2 linked regions of the Elephas maximus indicus genome follow. The protein of the gene in region 1 purifies or fractionates together with the protein of each later gene. This does not show direct contact. Links are inferred from orthologs where the notes say so. Each region holds a gene or a part of one and is shown in the gene's direction. Other genes may lie near its edges.

Region 1 (10,380 bases):
AGCCGTGATAAAGTCAAGAGCTATTCTATCGTCTAGCATTACCTAGCAAGAGACTCTTAAGATTTTTATTGAGCTGTAAGACTGTCTACAGCGTCATTTGCAATTTGTTCCATAGTAGTGGACAGGTTATGGATAGCCTTCTCTAATTGGTGAATACCATGGACTGATATAAAGGCCCAAAGAAAAGACCATTCCTTTCCAGATCTTTCAACTAGGGGGTTCAATTCAACTTCTCTCTTATATCTACCCAAAAAACAAAAATTTTTTGTTTGTTTGTTTGTGTTTTTTTGGGGGGGTATATCTCTGGTTAATATCTTTAGGTCATCTGTCCAACGCATACTTTCTCATTGTAAGAATGAATGTCCAAATGAACTCCTAAAAGACTCAAGTTGCATTGCCTTCTCATTCTCCAACCATTTAGGCAGGGCAATGCCCAAGGTTAAGTTTCATTATTTGGGTTTGGTCCTTCGATGGCAGGGTAATTTGATTCTCTACATAAAAACACATATCTATAAGGGGCAAATGTCATACCAGTTCCAGGATCACTCTCTGGAAGAGGAATGGTTTGATTTATTTGTTCAAGCCACTTGCTTGTGAGGGAGCTGTTGCAGATAGGTAACTGTCCCAACCTACGTTGGGCATAAAAGCGGTTTGATTGATTTTTCTTCAGGAAATCTATTGCTGTTGAGCTTGGTAGTTTTCCAAAATATCTAGGGAATCCAGTGCTTGAGACTGAGAAATTAGAATTAAGTCTACATTGTTGAATCAACCCCCTGAGGAATTTTTCTAAACCTTTCTGAGAAAGATTTAGCATTTTTGTGCAATCTATTTCATATTCCTGGACAAGACTTAAATTAAAACGTGGTACTTGAGGTTGAGTGGGCTGCCCAGGGGGATGCCATAATCTTACTTGCAGGGCTTGTTTAAAGGCAATATTAGAATTTACAGTAGCATTAGGTTGTCGTGTTGTTGTTAGGTGCCATTGAGTCAGTTCTGACTCATAGCGACCCTATGTACGAGAGAATGAAACACTGCCTGATCCTGCGCCATCATTACAATCATCGTTTCGCCTGAGCCCATTGTTGCAGCCACTGTGTCAGTCCGTCTCATTGAGGGTCTTCCTCTGTTTCGCTGAACTTCTACTTTACCAAGCGTGATGCCCTTCTCCAGAGACTGATCCCTCCTGATAACATGTCCAAAGTATGTGAGACGTAGTTTCGCCATTCTTGCTTCCAAGGAGCATTCTGGTTATACTTCTTCCAAGACAGACTTGTTCATTCTTTTGGCAGTCCATGGTATATTCAATATTTTTAACCAACACCCCAATTCAAAAGTGGCAGTTCTTTGGTCTTTCTTATTCATCATCCAGCTTCTGTGTGCATATGAAATGATTGAAAACACCATGGCTTGGGTCAGGGGCACCTTAGTCTTCAAGGTGACATCTTTGCTTCTTAACACTTTAAAGAGGTCTTTTGCAGCAGATTTGCCCAATGCAATGCATCATTTGATTTCTTGACTGCTGTAACCATGGGTGTTGATTGTGGATGTAAGTAAAATGAAATCCTTTTCTCCTTTTATCATGATGTTGCTTATTGGTCCAGTTGTGAGGATTTTTGTTTTCTTTATGTTGAGATATAATCCACACTGAAGGCTGTAGTCTTTGATCTTAATCAGTAAGTGCTTCGAGTCCTCTTCACTTTCGGCAAGCAAGGTTGTGTGATCTGCACAACACAGGTTGTTAATGAGTCTTCCTCCAATCCTGATGCCACGTTCTTTTTCATATAGTCCAGCTTCTTGGATTATTTGTCAGCATAAAGATTGAATAAAAATGGTGAAAGGATACAACCCTGATGTACACCTTTCATGACTTCAAACCATGCAGTATCTACTTGTTATGCCTGAACAACTCCCTCTTGATCTATATACTGTGTCTTCATGAGCTCAATTAGGTAGGAAACTGCAATTTAACAGGACGGGTTAATGGGTCTGAATTCTCATGCCCAGATTGAGGATGGAAATGACAGATCCAGCAATTAGTTAGGGTTCCAGCTCTGGCCACTGCCTGGGCTAAAGTGACAAACGCATTCTTTTTGCAAGTGTTGATGGGAATTAGGGAAAGCAACAAAAGAAAACTTAAGAAGAGCTCCATCATGGAGGAAAACCATCCAAAAAATAATATGACAAAGTAAACAGTAGAAAAACAACTACTATAAAACAAAATCCAGCAACGTCAATGTCTTGCGTACGTAATTACCAAGCAATATAACCAAGTTGGTATAATAAAGCAATTTCAAAGGTGATAAATATTAAGCAAAGTCCAACAGTTTCAGCAACTGGCATTACCAAGTAATGATACCAACTTGGTATAGTAAGGCAATCAATGTCAAAAGTCTGGTAAGCAGGAATGAGAGTCCAAAGATTTCGTTCCACACATACTTGCACTTGAAAAAATATGAAATATAAACAAAGCACTTAACTTGCATAAGATATCCTGGGGTACCCTTACTCCGCAGAGGTGGAGAAACTGTTGTTAAGAGTTCAGTGACTTGCCCAAGGCCACCCGGCTAATAATGGCTGCCTGAGTATATAGCTCATTCACTTCCAAATTCAGCCCATTTCCTCCAGGACTTCTTGTACAGGTCTTGATTTGGATTCCACTAGACTTGTCCTCTCTGAACCTTGGGTCCTCAGCTGCAAAATACCAATAATGACCCCTTATAGCCTATATGGAGCCTTGGTGGCACAGTGGTTAAGCATTTGGCTGCTAACCAAAAGGTTAACAGTTCAAATCCACCAGCCACTCCTTGGAAACCCTACAGAGCAGTTCTACTCTGTTCTGTAGTGTCACTGTGAGTCAAAATTGACTCAACAGCAACTTGACAGTGACATCCCTTGGTGGTACAAATGGTTTGCACTCAATTACTAACCTAAAGGTTGGTGGTTCGACCCAAACAACAGTGTCATGGAAGAAAGACCTGGTGATCTGCTTCCGTAAAGACTACAGCCAAGAAAATCTTATGGAGCAGTTCTACTCTGTAACACACGGCATTGCCTTCAGTCCAAATTGACTCTATGGCAAAGGTTTATAACTTATGTATTGTCTTCAAACTGATCAAGGTGAACCAACATCGGCTTGGTTGGCTTTCTTTTTATGTTTATCTTTACTGCTTTTTTTTTCTGATGACAAAGAAATACATGCTCCTTGTAAAAAATTTAAATTGCAGGAAGATATAATGAGTAAAAATGAAAGTGCAAGTCTAGGCGCAGTAGGCACAAGGTGCTGATATACTGTTATACTTTGGGAGGTGGGGGCAGGGCATGAGACAGGGAGCAAAAAATTCTTCCTGCTTAAAAATCTCTCCTATTGGTCTCAACACAGTTCCTGGACGTTCTGCTAGGTGTTTAGCCATGAAAGTTCAAGTGCAACCAAATAATGGGGTAGGGGGAGAAGGTGAGAATTGTTTGGGTGGGGGCTGTGCTTAGAATCCCAGGAGGAATGGGAGGAACCTGTGAACTTCCTATGGCAGTATGCATATTTAGCTCAGATGCCCACTATTGATATGCCTTGTAGCTATGTTTTCATCCCCTTTCCTCCCTCTTAGCATTTAGTAGTCCGTTTTGAAAGTTTCTACTACACACACACACACACACACACACACACACACACAGACAAAAGCAAAGCACAAAGAAAAAGGGCGAAAGTCCCTCTATTTAGATTTCTATATTCTCCACTTTTTTATGAATCTCCTTTTTTTTTTTTTTTTTTACTAAGCGTATGTAAGTCATAAACATGGGCTCCTACTACCCATTACATTCTGAAACTTACTCTTTTCACTTAACAATACCCAGTAGACAACTTTTCTTGCCTATTTATACCAATCTATCCCATTCCTTTTATTGACTGAGCTGCTTGAGGGCAGGACATTTAGCCCTACTTGCAGCCCATAGGCCAGCACATGGGAGGCCCTTACTGGGAGTACGTGTTGAAATGTCACAGCAGCTACCGTATCTTGGTATGAACTAGATGCCAGGCTCTGTGCTAAGCTCTTTCACACATTATTTTATTTAATCCTTACAGTCACTCTGTGAGGTAGGTTCTATGAGTACTCCCATTTTGCAGAGGATAAACTGAGGTTCAGAGACTTGAAAGCCCAAGGCCACACAGTTGGTTAGTGGTGGAGCTGGGATTTTAATCCTGATGGGTTGTGTGCCAAAGCATGTGTGGTGAATGAATGACTAAGTAGTTGATGGGGCCATGGGTCCTGGGGAGAAAGTTCTGTCTTTAGATGCTTCCCTGTATATACGTTTTTTGTATATACTGAGTTCTCATCAGCACATAGCAGGAACTCCCTAAAGGCCCTTTCCTTGCCTGCAGCAATCCTGTGGCCATGCCTACTTTTCATGGCAAGTGGCATTTTTTGAATCTTCTATTCTAAAAATAAGCCACACGTTGTTAGGGGCGCATGAGGACCAGCCCAGGCATTTCAGGACAACCATTTGCCTGTCCGCAGCGCAGGAAATTAATCAGAACCCCAAAGCCCTTCCCCTCTTCCCACAGGCCAGCGCTCTGGAAACGCCCAGTGCCTCACTGCAGCTCTTCTAGAGGACTGCAGACAGGCCAAGGGCAGTTTAACCCAGATCCATTTCTCTGTAAGGAAAGCGAGAGCAGAAAGGCACGAAGGAGAAACGGGTCAGCTCTTCTGCAAAGAACTTGCAGAGAGAGAGCTGTGCAGCTGTCCCCAACTTGGAGGGGTGCGGAGTGACAGGCACTCTGGGGCATCAAATGTGACTCTGCAGAATTCACCTGGGGCCTGGAGTCTCCAGTGCTGGTTCCTGTTCTAACGGCAATGTGTGGTAGGGCTGCTTGCTACAAGCCTCTTCCTCTCTCAGGATCCCCAAATCTCCCTCTGCAAAATGATTGGGTGAATTATTGCTGTGTACTCTGTCCTATAAGGTCGCTATGAGTCGGAATCCACTCGACCGCACTGGGTTTTCTGGGTAGTGTTCAGTGCTAGATATAGTACTGATGATAATAATACTAAGGAAAATAAGAATAACAACGACATCCTTTGTGGAACACTGTGCCTGGTGCTTTCCACACAGCATCTTATGTAATTTTAAAACAAACCCTATAAGGACCACATTATTACGCCCATTTTGCGGGTGAGGAGACTGAGGATCACAGAGAACTAGTAGGGGCCAGGAGAACCCCAGCTCCACAAAAATGTGTGAGTTTTGACCTCTAGGAAGTGCTAAGGAACAAACTGGGGCAGCGTGCGTGACTATGCCCTTAAAAGCGATACTGCCAATATTCAAAGGGGCATTCGGAGCAGGGAGTAGGCTTCTGGCTGGGGAAACCAGGAAGCTGCACACGGAGATGAGAAGCAAGGGAAGATCATGAGCAAAGGGGGAAATGTGGGAAAGCAGTGGGTGTGTTAGGGCAAGTTTGGCTAACCTTTACTCCGTGTGTGTGTGTGTGCGCGCATGGCCTGTGTATCTGGAAAAGTAGGAAGCGCTCAGACTGGACCAAGACTTTGGCCTTTATTCCTTCAAGAGATGTCTCAAGAGATGAGCTATGCTGCTGCAGTTGGAAAGCAAGCGCCGTCAGCGCATCTGTGTCCTGGCTTGTGAGTGCCGCTCCGTGCCAGTGAGCGCGTGGGAAGGCATCCGCCTGGGAGAGCGTGTCTCCTGCTGTGTCCTGTACCTTGCTGGGTGTGGCGCTTGGGCTCCCGTCAAAGGTTCCCCCCACTTCTCTGGACACTAGGTACCTTGCACATAGTAGGCCCACAGGAACTATGTCATAAAGCTATCGAAGGGATTTTTTTTTTTTCTTTTCCTTTCCTCTGTTGGACGGACTTCTGAGAACATCTAGTCATCACTCCTTCCCAGTTTAATGAAGGTATAAGTGGGGAATACAGATGGGAAGAGACTCCTCTAGGGTCACAACGAATTAATAGCTGTTCTGGGAACTGGAAGTCATGGCTCCTGAGTTCAAGCGGAGTTCCTTTTCCATAGGCTCAGGGCTAAGCACCTTTACATGAAGTACCTCACTGAAGCCTCATGACCCCCCTATCAGAGCACCCTTTCGAAAGCAGGGTGTCTTGCCTTCCGTTTCTGTTTCCCCTCGCGCCTAACACAGGCCCCGGTCACCTAGGCAATAAAAACTTCTCCCAGTCCAAGTAAGGGGGAGGAAGGCCGGAGGGGGCGGGGCGTTGTGGAAGCCCCGCCCCTCTAAGCAGGTCCCTCCCCCGGTCCCTGACGTTGCCCTGGCCCCGCCCCTCATTGTCAGTCCGGGGGAGCCGGAGGAGGCGCCGGCCGCCGGGAGCCCAGCGCGGAGCCCAGCGCGGAGCCCAGCGCGGCCCGGAGCTGCGGAGGTGAGGGGTCCGCGGGGAGGCTGCGGGAGCTGGTCGGGGGCGCGGCGCGGGCGGCCGGGGCGTGCGGCGGGAGAGGAGGGCGGCCAGAGGGGTCGGGGCGGCCGGGGGCTTCGGGGCAGAGCCGGGGGGCGACCCGGGGGGGAGCCGCGGCTGGGGGGTGGGATAAGAGTGTGAGCGGCTTTCTGGATGGAGATGGGGGCGAGCTGCTGAGGGGGAATCTTCGGGGCGAGACCTGGAGGTTTTTTCTGGAGTTGGAGGAAGAGAATCCGAGGGGGTTTTCTTTCGGAGGCGGAGGGAGGTTCGGAGGGGACTTCTCGGTGGGAGAGAAATGCTGGGGGCGCAGCTGGGGAGACGTTTTCAGGGGGCGAGGCTCCCAGAAGAGTTTCGAGGGTCGGGGCCGGCTGCGGGGGCGCGCGTGGGAAGCGGTGCGCTGGCGCGGGCCGGTGGGGGCGGGGAGCGGCGCGGCGCGGCCGGGTGGGGGGCCGGGGCGCCGGGGAGGGGGCTGCGCGGGGCCCGGCGGGCACCGGGGAGGAAGGAAGTGATCATACAGGAAGAGCCGGGAGCTCCCGAGGAGGAGGAGGAGGAGAGGAGGAGGAGGAGGAGGAGGAGTGGGGGGGAGGTCCGGGAGCGCGGCGGCCGGCGTGCGGGACGGGCTGTGGGGGCGCGGGGGCGCGGGCCGGGGAGGGGTCCCGCCGCGGGCGCAGCTGTCGGCGGCGCGGGCCGGTGTCCCGAGCGATGCCGCGCTCGAAGCCAGACCACTGGGCCGGGAAGGAATGCGAGGCATTCGCTTTGTTTAAGTTGCCAGTAGACAGTCCTGAGGACTAATTAATGGTGGAATCTGCAGGGGGACGCGGCCAGCCGGCCCGGGCCGCCCCCCGCGCGCCGCCGCGGCCAACTTTCCGCAGCGCGCCGCCCGCCTCCTGCGCACCCCGCCCCCGGCCGCCGGGAAGGGGGCCGTGGCTCCCCAAACGCTGGAGCCAAGTGAGGTTTCTGGGGCCCGTGGCCTCTGGCTGCCCAGGCGGCCTTCAGGGAGCCCGGCGTCCCGGCGTGGTCGGGTTGGGGGCTCGGAGCCCCGTGGAGAGCTCTCTGAGGTGCCTGCGGTTTCGGTTAATAACCTGGGAGGAGACTCTGCAAGCCGAGGAAGACCATCTCGCTGCTTTGGAGCATCTGTTTCTTCATCGCGTCAGCCCCTTTCCTAACACTGCAGTGCTTGTTGTGGCTTGTTTCGGAAATGCCGAGGCCAGTGCTCACACTTGAGGGTGGGAAGGGGGAGAGGATAGGCACCCCAAAAGAACCTGCAGTGTGATCTCCAGGAGACCAGAGACTGCTTGCAGATTCTCCCTCGCACCTTCACTGACTTGAATGACCTTGGGGAAGGGATTGTGCTTCTGAGCGCCTGGCGCCTTATCTGTCCTTTGAAGAGAAAATACTCCCTGGACCTCCCTGCCTTTTGGGAATATTTTGAGGGGTGGGGTTTGTTGGAGATACTTCTATACAAGTTGCTGCAGCTCTGGCCTAGAGAGCAGGACTTGTGTCAGAGCAGGGAGAGTTGAGGTCACCCACTAAGATTTTACTGCCTCAGATAGGGAGGGAGGGGTTTGGATGTTAGGAGGATATTTCTTTAAGGAGAACCCGGATAGTATGTTCTAGATTGCTTTCCATCACTTTGTGTGCAGGATTGTTGGCATTCGAGTGGTTAAATTGAATAACCTCCATAGAAAATTCTTCGCTTGTCAGAGATAATTATTTTGCTCAGAATTCCCCTTGGGGCAGATTAAGGTTTTGGTCGATTTACTCAGAAGAATTTTCAAGGTTTCTAAAATTAAATCACTTTTCTAAACATAGTAACTAAAGTTTAAAAAACTGGAAGTAGTGGGATAGAAGGGGAGGGGGCTGGAGTGTGGACAAAGCAAATACAGGTTCATTGTTGACCTTCGATTGGTAATCTAGTTTGTGAGTTTGCTTTCCTTGGTTATTAGGTGTTAGTCTTAAATAATTTAAGTTGAAGAAAGAGAGCTAATATTGTTGAGTTGCCTTCTGTGTGCCCAGTAATTGTGCTAGATGGTTTATTTCTCATATCATTGGCATCCCAGTTTTACAGACGAGCTAACCTGAGGTTCAGAAAGGCAAAGTGACTTTCCCAAGAAGAAGTGGAGCTGCAGTTCAAACCCGTCTCTGTTTCTAAGGTCCATGGTTATTTCCACTCTGCATACTGCCTTGGGAACCAGGAGACTTAGTTTCTAGTCTGTGACTCAGCCTCTGGGTTACTGTGGACCTTAGAAAAAGTCAGCTAAGTCTATTCTCCAGTAACATTGGCTTCTTTTCTTTGAGCGATGTTGTCAGTATGCTTCTGAGGTTTTCGAGTTTTTTAGTAGAAAGACAAACATGTAAGACTGTGGTAGGAGTATGTCTTATATGCACTATGTGCTTAGAAATTTTTTGCTTGTGATGGACTCATTTGTATTAGAATATAGAATTATCGGATTTCATAAGATGTCATTTAGGTAATGGGAGATGGTGGGCAGCTAATGGCCCTTCCACTGTAGAGGTCAACATTAAGATGATATTTATGATCAGAAACGGAATGATTTTTCATGTAACATGACTTTTTGGGACAGTGTTGGCTTATGAGTAAAGCACACTGCCGGTAAAACCCAAATAGTCCAAGTTGGAAGATTTGGTGTGAACTTTGACCCACATAACTATTTGCTGAATGAATGCATTCTTAAAAAAAAAAAAAAGGGCTTTATTGAGCTATAATTTACATACAATAAATTTCATCAGTTTTAAACATACAGTTTGATGAGGTTTGACAAATGTGTACAGTTGTGTAACACTGTCACCGCCTTTGTTCTTTTGAACTCTTGTGTTATCTCTTAGGAATCATGTAGCAGGGTAATCCCTGGGGATACGAGGTTTCTGTGCTCAGATTTGGAGTCCCTGGGTGGTGCAGATGGTTAACATGGTTGGCTCCTAACCATAGGGTTGGAGGTTCAAGTCTACTCAGAAGTCCATTGGAAGAAAGGGCTGGCAATCTACTTCTGAAAAATCAGTCATTGAAAACACTATGGAGCACAGTTTTACTTTGACACACATGGCACTGTCATGAGTCAGAATTGACTCAGGGGCACCTGGTTCTGCTCAGGTTCAGTCCTGGTTCAATCAGAGTGAAAGTCTGCGTGCCAACTTAGTAGGAACCAGGAGAGCTTAGGTGTTTAATGGTGAGGTGAGTGAGAAGAACAAGAGAGGTAGAGATGGGGACACTTGTCAGGTCAGGGGAAGGATGAATACATTTGGGAGGAACCCGATTTAGTTTCTTCTAGGACAGAAACACATTGTGACGGAAAAAAATTACCGAAAGTTTGATTAAGGAGTTGAATTTAATTTTTGTTTCCTTTTTTGAAATGGTAGCTCCTGAAATACAAAGCTTAACATCTTTGGCTATACCTAAGAAATACTTAACACTTTGTGGTGGTTCAAATAATGCTTAAGGGTGGGGGTGCTGTAAAGTGATTGACGGCCTTGCACTTGCACCTGTGAGAGAATATCCCCAGTGTTATCTCTAACTTAGCTGATATTCTACAAAGGAAAATACATTAGGCAGGAATTGCGACTTTCTGGGAAGATAAAAGATTATTTTTTTTTCTTCTCGTAATTTTTCAAGTTATGGAACCTGTCCAGATCTGCTTTAACTCGTACTAGAAAATGCATGAAACCTGTGCTACTTAGCTTCTAGAAACACCATTTCTACCACTTAGTCGTTCTTGTTCCTCTTTATCCACTCTATTTCTGTGTGTTGACTATCTTATAATTCCTTTCTCCCACCCATGAATTCATCTGAGAATGAAAACTCTGGTTACATCAGCCATCAACTCTCCAAATACCATTAAACCAAAACCAGAGTCACTGCTGTCAAGTTGATTCGGACTCATAGGGATCTTGAAGAACAGAGTAGAACTGCCCCATGGGATTTCCAGGGCTGTAAAACTGTATGGAAGCAGACTGC
Region 2 (10,116 bases), about 57 Mb from region 1:
CGACAACTATGAGCCCAAGAGACAGAAAGGGCCCCATGAACCAGAGACCTACATCATCCTGAGACCAGAAGAACTAGATGGTGCCCGGCCACATCCGATGACTGCCCTGACAGGGAGCACAACAGAGAACCCCTGGGGGAGCAGGAGATCAGTGGGATGCAGACCCCAAATTCTCATAAAAAGACCATACTTAATGGTCTGACTGAGACTAGAGGAATCCCGGCAGTCATGGTCCCCAAACCTTCTGTCAGCCCAGGACAGGAACCATCCCCGAAGACGACTCATCAGACATGAAAGGGACTGGACAGTGGGTAGGAGAGAGATGCTGATGAAGAGTGAGCTAATTATATCAGGTGGACACTTGAGACTGTGTTGGCATCTCCTGTCTGGAGAGGGGGTGGGAGGATAGGGAGAGTTGGAAGCTGGCAAAATTGTCACGAAAGGAGAGACTGGAAGGGCTGACTCCTTAGGGGGAGAGCAAGTGGGAGTACGGAGTAAGGTGTATATAAACTTATATGTGACAGACTGACTTGATTTGTAAACGTTCACTTGAAGCTCAATAAAAGTTAATAAAAAAAAAAAGACATTGCCTGACGTACCCACTCAAAGTATTTTTTTTCACTTTAAAAGATTATTTTTGACTAAATTTAGAGGTACAGAAAAGCTGCAAAGATATTACAGAGAGTTCCAGTCTACCCCGCATCCAGCTTCCCCCACGTTCACAGCTTACATCACCATGGTGCATCAGTCAGAGCTAAGAGAGAAACGTCGTGTGCTGGCGAGTCGATTCCGTGACAGAGCAGAACGGCCCCACAGGGTTTTCTAGGCTGTAATCTTTACGGGAGCAGATTGCCAGGCCTTTCTTCTACTCAGCTGCTGGGTGGATTTGAACCTCCAACATTTTGGTTAGCAGCTGAATGTTTAAACATCACACTACCGGGGTTCTATCAACTAAATGACTGAGTTGATGCAGATGCCATGATTTTCCAGTAATATCCTTTTTTTCTGCTCCAGAATCCAATTCAGGATCTCACATTACATTTAGTTTTGCACATTTTTAACATAAAGCAGTTTTGTCAGAGGAGCCTGTGCAGACGTGGGATCCTGGTACAGAAAAAGGATATCAGGAAAAAACAGAAATTCTGAATAAAGTATGGACTTGGGTTAATACTAATCTATCATTAGGCCATTGGTTGTGACAAAGAGCCCTAGTGGCACAGCGGTTAAGCACTTGGCTGCTAACAGAAAGGTTGGTGATTAGAACCCATCCAGCAGCTCCATGGAAGAAAGACCTGGCAATCTGCTTACTTAAAGACTGTTGTTGTTGTTGGGCACCATCAAGTCAGTTCCGACCCACAGCAACCCTGTGTACAACCAAATGAAACACTGCTTGGTCCTGTGCCATCCTCAGAATTGTCATTATGCTTGAGCCCATTGTTGCAGCCACTGTGTCAGTCCATCTCGTTGAGGGTCCTCCTCTTTTTTGTTGACCCTCTGGTTTACCAAGCATGATGTCCTTCTCCAGGAACTGATCCCTCCTGATAATGTCCAAAGTATGTGAAATGTAGTCTTGCCATCCTTGCTTCTAAGGAGCATTCTGACTGTACTTCATCCAAGACAGATTTGTTTGTTCTCTTGGCAGTCCGTGGTATATTCAATATTCTTTGCCAACACAATTCAAAGGTGTCAATTCTTCTTTGGTCTTCCTTATTCATTCTCCAGTTTTCACATTCATATGAGGTGACTGAAAATACCATGGCTTGGGTCAGGCACACCTTAGTCCTTAAAGTGACATCTTTGCTTTTTAATACAATGCGATGCATCCTTTGATTTCTTGACTGCTGCTTCCATGGGCGTTGATTATGGATCCAAGTAAAATGAAATCCTTGACAGCTTCAATCTTTTCTGTTTATCATGATGCTGCTTATCGGTCCAGTAGTGAGGACTTTTGTTTTCTTTATGTTGAGCTGTAATCCATACTGAAGGCTGTGGTCTTTGATTAGTAAGTGCCTGAAGTCTTCTTCACTTTCAGAAAGTAAGGTTGTGTCATCTGCATATCGCAGGTTGTTAATGAGTCTTCCTCTAATCCTGATGCCCTGTTCTTCTTCGTGTAGTCCAGCTTCTTGGATTATTTGCTCAGCATACAGATTGAATAAGAATACAACCCTGCCGTACACCTTTCCTGACTTTAAACCACACAGTATCCCCTTGTTCTGTTCAAAAGACTGCCTCTTGATCTATGTAAAGGTTCCTCATGAGCACAATGAAGTGTTCTGGAATTCCTATTCTTCACAATGTTATCCGTAGTTTGTTATGATCCACACAGTCAAATGCCTTTGCATAGTCAATAAAACACAGGTAAACATCCTTCTGGTGTTCTCTGCTCTCAGCCAGGATCCATCTGACATCAGCAATGATATCCCTGGTTCCACCCCCTCTTCTGGATCTGGCTTGAATTTCTGGAAGTTCCCTGTGGATGTACTGCTGCAACTGCTTTTGAATGATCTTCAGTAAAATTTTACTTGTGTGTGATCTTAATGATACTGTTTGATAATTTCTGCATTCTGTTGGATCATCTTTCTTGGGAATGGATACAAATACAGATCTCTTCCAGTCGGTTGGCCAGGAAGCTGTTTTCCAAATTTCTTGGCATAGATGAGTGAGCACTTCCAGGGCTGCATCTGTTTGTGGAAACATCTCAGTTGGTATTCTATCAATTCCTGAAGCCTTGTTTCTTGACAATGTCTTTGGCGCAGCTTGGAGTTCTTTAAGTACCATCGGTTCCTGATCATATGCTACCTCCTGAAATAGTTGAATGTTGACCAGTTCTTTTTGGTACAGTGACTCTGTGTATTCCTTCCATCTTCTTTTGATGCTTTCTGCAGTTTAGTATTTTCCCTGCAGAATCCTTCAATATTGCAACTTACGGCTTGAATTTTTTCTTCAGTTCTTTCAGCTTGAGAAATGCCAAGTGTGTTCTTTCCTTTTGGTTTTCTATCTCCAGGTCTTTTGCACATTTCATTATAATACTTTACTTTGTCTTCTCGAGTTGACCTTTGAAATCTTCTGTTCAGCTCTTTTACTTCATCATTTTTTCCTTTTGCTTTAGCTACTTGACATTCAAGAGCAAGTTGCAGAGTCTCTTCTGACATCCATTTTGGTCTTTTCTTTCTTTCCTTCCTTTTTAATGACCTCTTGCTTTCTTCATGCATGATTCCTTGATGTCATTCCACAACTCCCCTGGTGTTCCGCCGTTAGTGTTCAATGCATCAAATCTGTTCTTGAGATGGCCTCTAAATTCAGGTGGGATATACTCAAGGTCGTACTTTGGCTCTCATGGACTTAGTTCTAATTTTCTGCAGCTTCAACTTGAACTTGCATATGAGTAATGGATGGACTGTTCCATAGTCGGATCCTGGCCTTGTTCTGACTGATGATATCGAGCTTTTCCTTTGTTTCTTTCCACAGATGTAGTTGGTTTGATTCCTGCGTGTTCCATCTGGCGAGGTCCTTGTATATAGTCACCACTTATGTTGTTGAAAAAAGGTATACACAATGAAGAAGTCATTGGTCTTGCAAAATTCTATCATGTGATCCAGTGTCATTTCTATCACCAAGGCCATTTTTTCCAACTACCAATCCTTCTTCATTTCCAACTTTTGCATTCTTATCACCAGTAATTATCAATGTATCTTGATTGCATGTTTGATCAATTTCAGACTGCAGAAGTTGGTAAAATCTTCAACAGTTTAATCTTGGGCCTTAGTGGTTGGTGTGTAAATTTGAATAATAGTCGTATTAACTGGTCTTCTTTGCAGACAGATGGATATATATATATACATATATATATATGTTGGATATTATCCTATCACTGATAGTATTGTACTTCAGGATAGATCCTGAAATGTTCTTTTTATTGATGAATGTGACGCTATTCCTCTTGAATTTGTTATTTCTGGCATAGTAGACTTTGGCATAGTAGACCACGGCATAGTAGACCACAGGGTTGTCTGAGTCAAAGTGGCCAAAATGAATCCATTTCAGCTCACTAATGCCTAGGATATCGATGTTTATATGTTCCATCTCATTTTTCACAACTTCCAATTTTCCTAGATTCATACTTCGTACATTCAAGGTTCCGATTATTAATGGATGTTTGCAGCTGTTTCTTCTCATTTTGAGTCGTGCCACATCAGCAAATGAAGGTCCCGAAAGCTTGACTCCATCCACGGCATTAAGGTTGACTCTACTTTGAGGAGGCAGCTCTTCCCCAGTCGTCTTTTCAGTGCCTTCCAACCTGGGGGGCTCATCTTCCAGCACTATATCAGACACTGTTCTGGTGCTATTCGTAAGATTTTCATTGGCTAGTTTTTTTTCAGAAGTAGACTGCCAGGTCCTTCATCCTAGTCTGTCTTACTCTCGAAGCTCAGCTGAAACCTGTCCACCATAAATGACCCTGCTGATATTTGAATACCAGTGGCATAGTTTCTAGCATTACATCAACCTGCAAGTCCGCACAGTATGACAAACTGACATATGCGTGGGGGGCAATAAATGTTAGCTCTAATTATCAGTGAAAAAGGATCAGCGAAAAAGAGGAAGACGCTCAGTGAGATGGGTTGACAGTAGCTGCAACAATGGGCTCAAGCAACGACTGTGAGGATGGCGCGAGTCGGGGCAGTGTTTCATCCCATTGTATGTAGGGTCGCTATGAGTTGGAACCAACTCTACAGCACCTCACAACAATAACCTAATTATTTATCTTGAGATCAACAGAAGTCCCAGAAAGTTCCAGAAGCAATACTGGCAGCAGCTCACAGCAAAACTCCCCCTCATCCGACCGACCTCTCCATTTGCATTTATTTAGGTATTTAGAATGTAGATAATATTTTACAAGGGGCAAAGCTACAACACAGGGACGCATGCAGCACCAGGGTGCAGCCCAGGAGCAGCAGCGCGCACCTAGCCTGAGCTAGACCTCTGACTCAACGTACCTTGCGCGCGAGAAAGGAAGGACAAGGATCCAGGACTTGAGCATCCCGCCCTGCAGCTTCAGGACCCGGGTCAGGGAGGTGGGCGGGGCGGTCCAGGGTCCGGAAGTCAGCATTACTTCCGTCACCTTGACCAGCGTTCCTTTTAGCCAATCAGCTGCGGGAAGGCGAGCCCATCGACCAATGGCGAAGCCGCCCCTGGGAGCGAGGGGCACGAACGGCGTTTGCGCGAACCAATGGGGGTTGGGTATCCGCGTTCCGGGGCCGGGCATTGGCGGACGCGGTGACGTCGGCGCGTCACCGCGGTCGAGGCTGGGGAGCCGGGGACAGCGAAGGCGGCGGCCAGCGCGGCGGCGGAGCAGCCGGGGCTCGGGGCCGCAGAGGGTGTGGAGCGGACCCGGTGCGAGGCCAGCGGGCTGGGCAGGGGCTGGGGCGTCGCGTGAGGATCCTTGGAAGACAGGGGGACAGAGAGGCTCTGGGGCGGCTTGGCTTGGGGACCTCTTGGGTGACCGGGCCGGAGAATGGGCTTGCTCCGTGCCTGCGAGGGGCGTGGCGGACGCGGGAACGCTTGAGGAGGAACGTCGGGGGTCGGGAGACAGGGGTGTTCCTAGGGGACCCTTGGAGCCAGCCCTTGGAGGTTGTGCTGGGGCTGGGGACATGGGGGGCGGGGTGGAGGTCGAGGGGGAGACTCACTGTGGCCCTTTTGCAGGGGGAATGGAGGGGCCAAAGGGGGGCCCGCCTGGGGTCTGGGGAGACTGGGCTGGGGGGACCTTCCATCCATGGGGGAGGTTCTTTGGAGCAGGGAGGAGGAAGCGGTTACCTAGTCTTTCTAGAACAGTGGAAGTGGGGTGCAAGAGTGGGTAGGGGGCTTGCAGCAGCTTGGAAGCCATTATCCGGAGCCGGGGAAGTCAGGTTGGGGGATCAGTGGTTACGGCCTGGGGTCCTAATGAAGGGGTGGGTGGTTGGAAGCCACCAGCTACTCAGCTGGAGAAAAGCCTTTGTGATCTACACCAGTAAAGATGACAGCCGAGGAAACCCTGTGGAGCAGTTCTTCTCTGTCACATGGGGTCACTATGGGTTGGAGTCTTTTGGATGGCACCTACCAACAAGAGAATGGGGGGGTACCTCTCTGAGGAGGGTCTTAGGTGTGTGGGGGTGGATCAGGTAAGGGTGAGGCAGGGTTAAGGTAGCTGATGGGCTTGGAGATGGCGGTCTCTTGGGAGAAGAACTTACACGAGGAGGCTAGCAGTGAGTAAGGGTGCCCTCGGAGTGGGGGTGGGAAGAGTAGGGGGAACGTTCTGGAATGAGCAGTTGAGAGAAGTCTAGGAGGAAGATGTAGAGAAAGAGATACTGGAGCAGTGGGGGCGGGGGCGGTGCTGAGAGCACTGTGCATAGGAGGGCTGCGTGGACAGAGGTGGTAGGTAGGGGCTCATACCAACCTTGTTGGGAGTGGTTAAGATGTCAGTGAGGTGACACATGAAAGTACCCTGCCCACTGAACTGTCAGGGTCCGATGGACCCCATGGATAACAGAACGGAACTCTGCTCTGTCCTGAGCCATCCCCATGGTGGGCTGCAGATCGGACCATTGCGATCCAGAGGGTATTCATGGGTTGATTTTCACAAGTCTATCTGCAGGCCTTTCTTCCTTGTCTTTCTCAGTCTGGAAGCTCTAGTGAGCTTCAGCGGAAGGAGATGAGGCTGGTGTTTGACGCAATGGCTGTTTCCCTGTCTCCTCCAGGGTCACGGTGAGGGGGCATCCCTCAGGTCCTGTCTCCAGGCCTCTGCGACTGGGTGTTCACTGGAGCAGAAGCCGCTGGAAGGCAGAGCCACCGCCATGTCTACATTCAGGCAGGAAGACGTGGAGGACCACTATGAGATGGGGGAGGAACTGGGCAGGTGAGCAGTCAGAGGGGCCTGGGTGAAGGGGAAGAGGAGAGGGGGGATTTCCTGTCCTTATCCGACTCCTCAAGAAGAAATGAGTCAGCATCATGCACTGGTGGAGCAAGGCCAGGTGTTGGAGTCAGATGGTCCTGGCTGTGAATTCTTGCTGGGACATTGCTGTGCCTGTCTTCTGGGGAGAAATGGAATCGGGTATAGATAGCACCTAACACAGTGCCTGGCACAGGGTTGTCGTTAGATGCCACTGAGTCGATTCCGACTCATAGTGACAGAGTGGAGCTTCTCCCCAGAGTTTCCCAGGCTATAATCTTTATGGGAGAAGATCGCCAGGTTTTAGTCCTGTGGAGCCTCTGGGTGGGTTTGAACTGCATACAGTAGGAGAGTGATAAAGCCAGTTGCTGTTGAATTGACTCTGACTCATGGTGACCCCACGTGGGTCAGAGTAGAACTGTGCTCCATACGGTTTTCAATGGCTGATTTTTTTGGAGTTAGATTGGCCAGGTCTTTCTTCCAAGGCTCCTCTAGGTGAATTCGAATTTCCAGCCTTTGGGTTAGCAGCTGAGTGCGCTCCCTGTTAGCACCACCCAGGGAGAGGGCAGTAGATGCTCACTATTTTCATTACTAAGGGTCCACCGTGTCTTCAGTCTTCTCACGTGGGAGACAGGGCACTCCAGAGCTCTCTGAGCTCTTACGTGTTTGAAGGGACAAGCCCCTGTCTGGACCCACACCCCTGCCCATTGTTTTGCATTCTTGTGGGGGAAAAGCTGAGATTTCCCATTCCAGCCAGGCAGCTGATTTCCTGTCTGGCTGGGCCCCCCACAGCAGCCAGGCACTGCCAGGCCCGCCTTCATTTTTGTGGCTTCTCCAACCTTATTTGGTGAGCTCGGCTGCTGGCCGGCCTTCCTGGAGCAGCCTCAGGCCAGCCCCATGATGTCACTGGAAGGGAATGTAAATAACTGAGCCGTGCGTCAGGGCTGTGCAGGTTTAGATCCTTCCCTTAGGACTTTCCTCCCCTAGAGGGGTAGAGAAGACAGCCCCGTTCCCATCCCCAACCGGAAAAATCTTAGACTTTATTGTTGAAAACGTATTAGGACCTTCTGCTGGAGGTCGGTGTTAGCCACTGTTGAGTTGGCCCCTGTCTCATGGCCACCACGTGCACAAGGGGCCAAAACGCTGCCTGGTCCTGCACCATCCTCACAGTCATTGTGATCTGCAGGGTTTTCATTGGCTGCTTTTTGGGAAGCAGATCGCCAGGCGTTTCTTCCTAGTGTGCCTTCGCCTGGGAGCTCTATGGAAACCTGTTCAGCATCCTGGCAACGTGCAAGCCTCCGCTGATGGATGGTGGCTGCACATCAGGTGCACTGGCCAGGAATCGAACCTGGGTCTCCCTCGTGGAGGCGAGAATTCTGCCCCTGAACCACCGATTTGTAGTGACCCCCATGTGACAGAGTAGAACTGTTCCATGGGGCTTCCTAGACTGTAATCTTCATGGGAGCGGATCACCAGGTCTTTCTACAGGGAGCCACTGGGTGGGTTTGAACCTGTAGCCTTTCAGTTAGCGCCAAGCACGAGCTGTTTGCACCACCTGTAGTTGTGTGCCGTCAAGTCCCTTCTGACTCATGCTGACCCCAGGTGACAGTAGAACTGCCCCATAGGGTCTTCTAGGCTGTAATCTTTATGGAAGCAGATTTCTCCTGTGCAGCCGCTGGGTGGGTTCCTTTCGGTTGGCAGTGGAGCATTCGCTGTTGCGCCACCAGGGCTCCTAGGGGGATGCTGAGCGTTTGGAAGAAGCACCTGAATGGGGTTGGAGGATGTACAGTTTCCTCTTCCGCCAGCAGGGGGCGTGTGTCCTGGGCTTTCTGCACAGAGGAGCTGGTCACTGGCCCACCCCCTGCCCACCTCCCCTCTCCCTGTCCCCCCGGTGCCCTGCAGCGGCCAGTTTGCCATCGTGCGGAAGTGCCGGCAGAAGGGCACCGGGAAGGAGTACGCTGCCAAGTTCATCAAGAAGCGCCGCCTGTCATCCAGCCGGCGGGGTGTGAGCCGCGAGGAGATCGAGCGGGAGGTGAACATCCTGCGGGAGATCCGGCACCCCAACATCATCACGCTGCACGACATCTTCGAGAACAAGACAGACGTGGTGCTCATCCTGGAGCTGGTCTCGGGCGGCGAGCTCTTCGACTTCCTGGCCGAGAAGGAATCTCTGACCGAGGATGAAGCCACCCAGTTCCTCAAGCAGATCCTGGATGGTGTCCACTACCTGCACTCCAAACGCATCGCCCACTTCGACCTCAAGGTGAGCCGCGGGCAGGGCACTGCCCCTTACGCTTCACCCTTTCCCCCAAGGACGGCAGGGCACTGCCCCTTACGCTTCACCCTTTCCCCCAAGGACGGAGCTGGAGACCCTGGCCAGGTGGGCGAGGGTGGGGCCAGGGAGAGGTGCTTGGAATCTGAGGGATAGGATCCCTCTGTCTCTTTGTGAGCTGTGGGGCCTGGAGCAAGCCCTTCCCGAGCTCCATTTCTCTGTTTCATGAAGATAACGTTACCTAGTTGTTGTCTTTTGTTTAGTCATGTTTGATTGCATTTCTTTTTTTTCTATACCTCCACCCATTTTTTTAAAAATAATTTTTATTGTGCTTTAAGTGAAAGTTTACAAATCAAGTCAGTCTCTCATATATAAACTTATATACACCTTACTCCATACTCCCATTTACTCTCCCCCTAATGAGTCAGCCCGCTCCCTCCTTCCAGTCCCTCCTTTCCTGACCATTTTGCCAGTTTCTAACCGCCTCTATCCTCCTATGTCCCCTCCAGACAGGAGAGGCCAACACAGTCTCAAGTGTCCACCTGATACAAGTAGCTCACTCCTCATCAGCATCTCTCTCCAACCCATTGTCCAGTCCAATCCATGTCTGATGAGTTGTCTTCGGGAATGGTTCCTGTCCTGGGCCAACAGAAGGTCTGGGGACCATGACTACTGGGATTCTTCTAGTCTCAGTCAGACCATTAAGTCTGGTCTTTTTATGAGAATTTGGGGTCTGTATCCCACTGATCTCCTGCTCCCTCAGGGGTTCTCTGTTGTGCTCCCTGTCGGGGCAGTCATCGGTTGTGGCCGGGCACCATCTAGTTCTTCTGGTCTCAGGATGATGTAAGTCTCTAGTTCATGTGGCCCTTTCTGTCTCTTGGGCTCTTAGTTACCTTGTGACCTTGGTGTTCTTCATTCTGCT

What was found.
Region 2: the proteins of LUZP1 (region 1) and DAPK3 purify together in Homo sapiens (affinity purification with mass spectrometry; 3 studies listed by BioGRID and IntAct, with this or other methods). This does not show direct contact. The link is inferred for Elephas maximus indicus from reciprocal best matches to the Homo sapiens genes LUZP1 and DAPK3.

Annotation. Positions count from the first base shown.
Region 1 is NC_064821.1:63,577,139-63,587,518, reverse strand, and holds the start of LUZP1 (leucine zipper protein 1), read left to right. Parts: upstream 1-6,291; 5' UTR 6,292-6,374; intron 6,375-10,380.
Region 2 is NC_064821.1:7,015,824-7,025,939, reverse strand, and holds the start of DAPK3 (death-associated protein kinase 3), read left to right. Parts: upstream 1-5,282; 5' UTR 5,283-5,391; intron 5,392-6,731; 5' UTR 6,732-6,827; coding exon 6,828-6,889; intron 6,890-8,824; coding exon 8,825-9,185; intron 9,186-10,116. UniProt on the Homo sapiens protein: Serine/threonine kinase which is involved in the regulation of apoptosis, autophagy, transcription, translation and actin cytoskeleton reorganization. Involved in the regulation of smooth muscle contraction.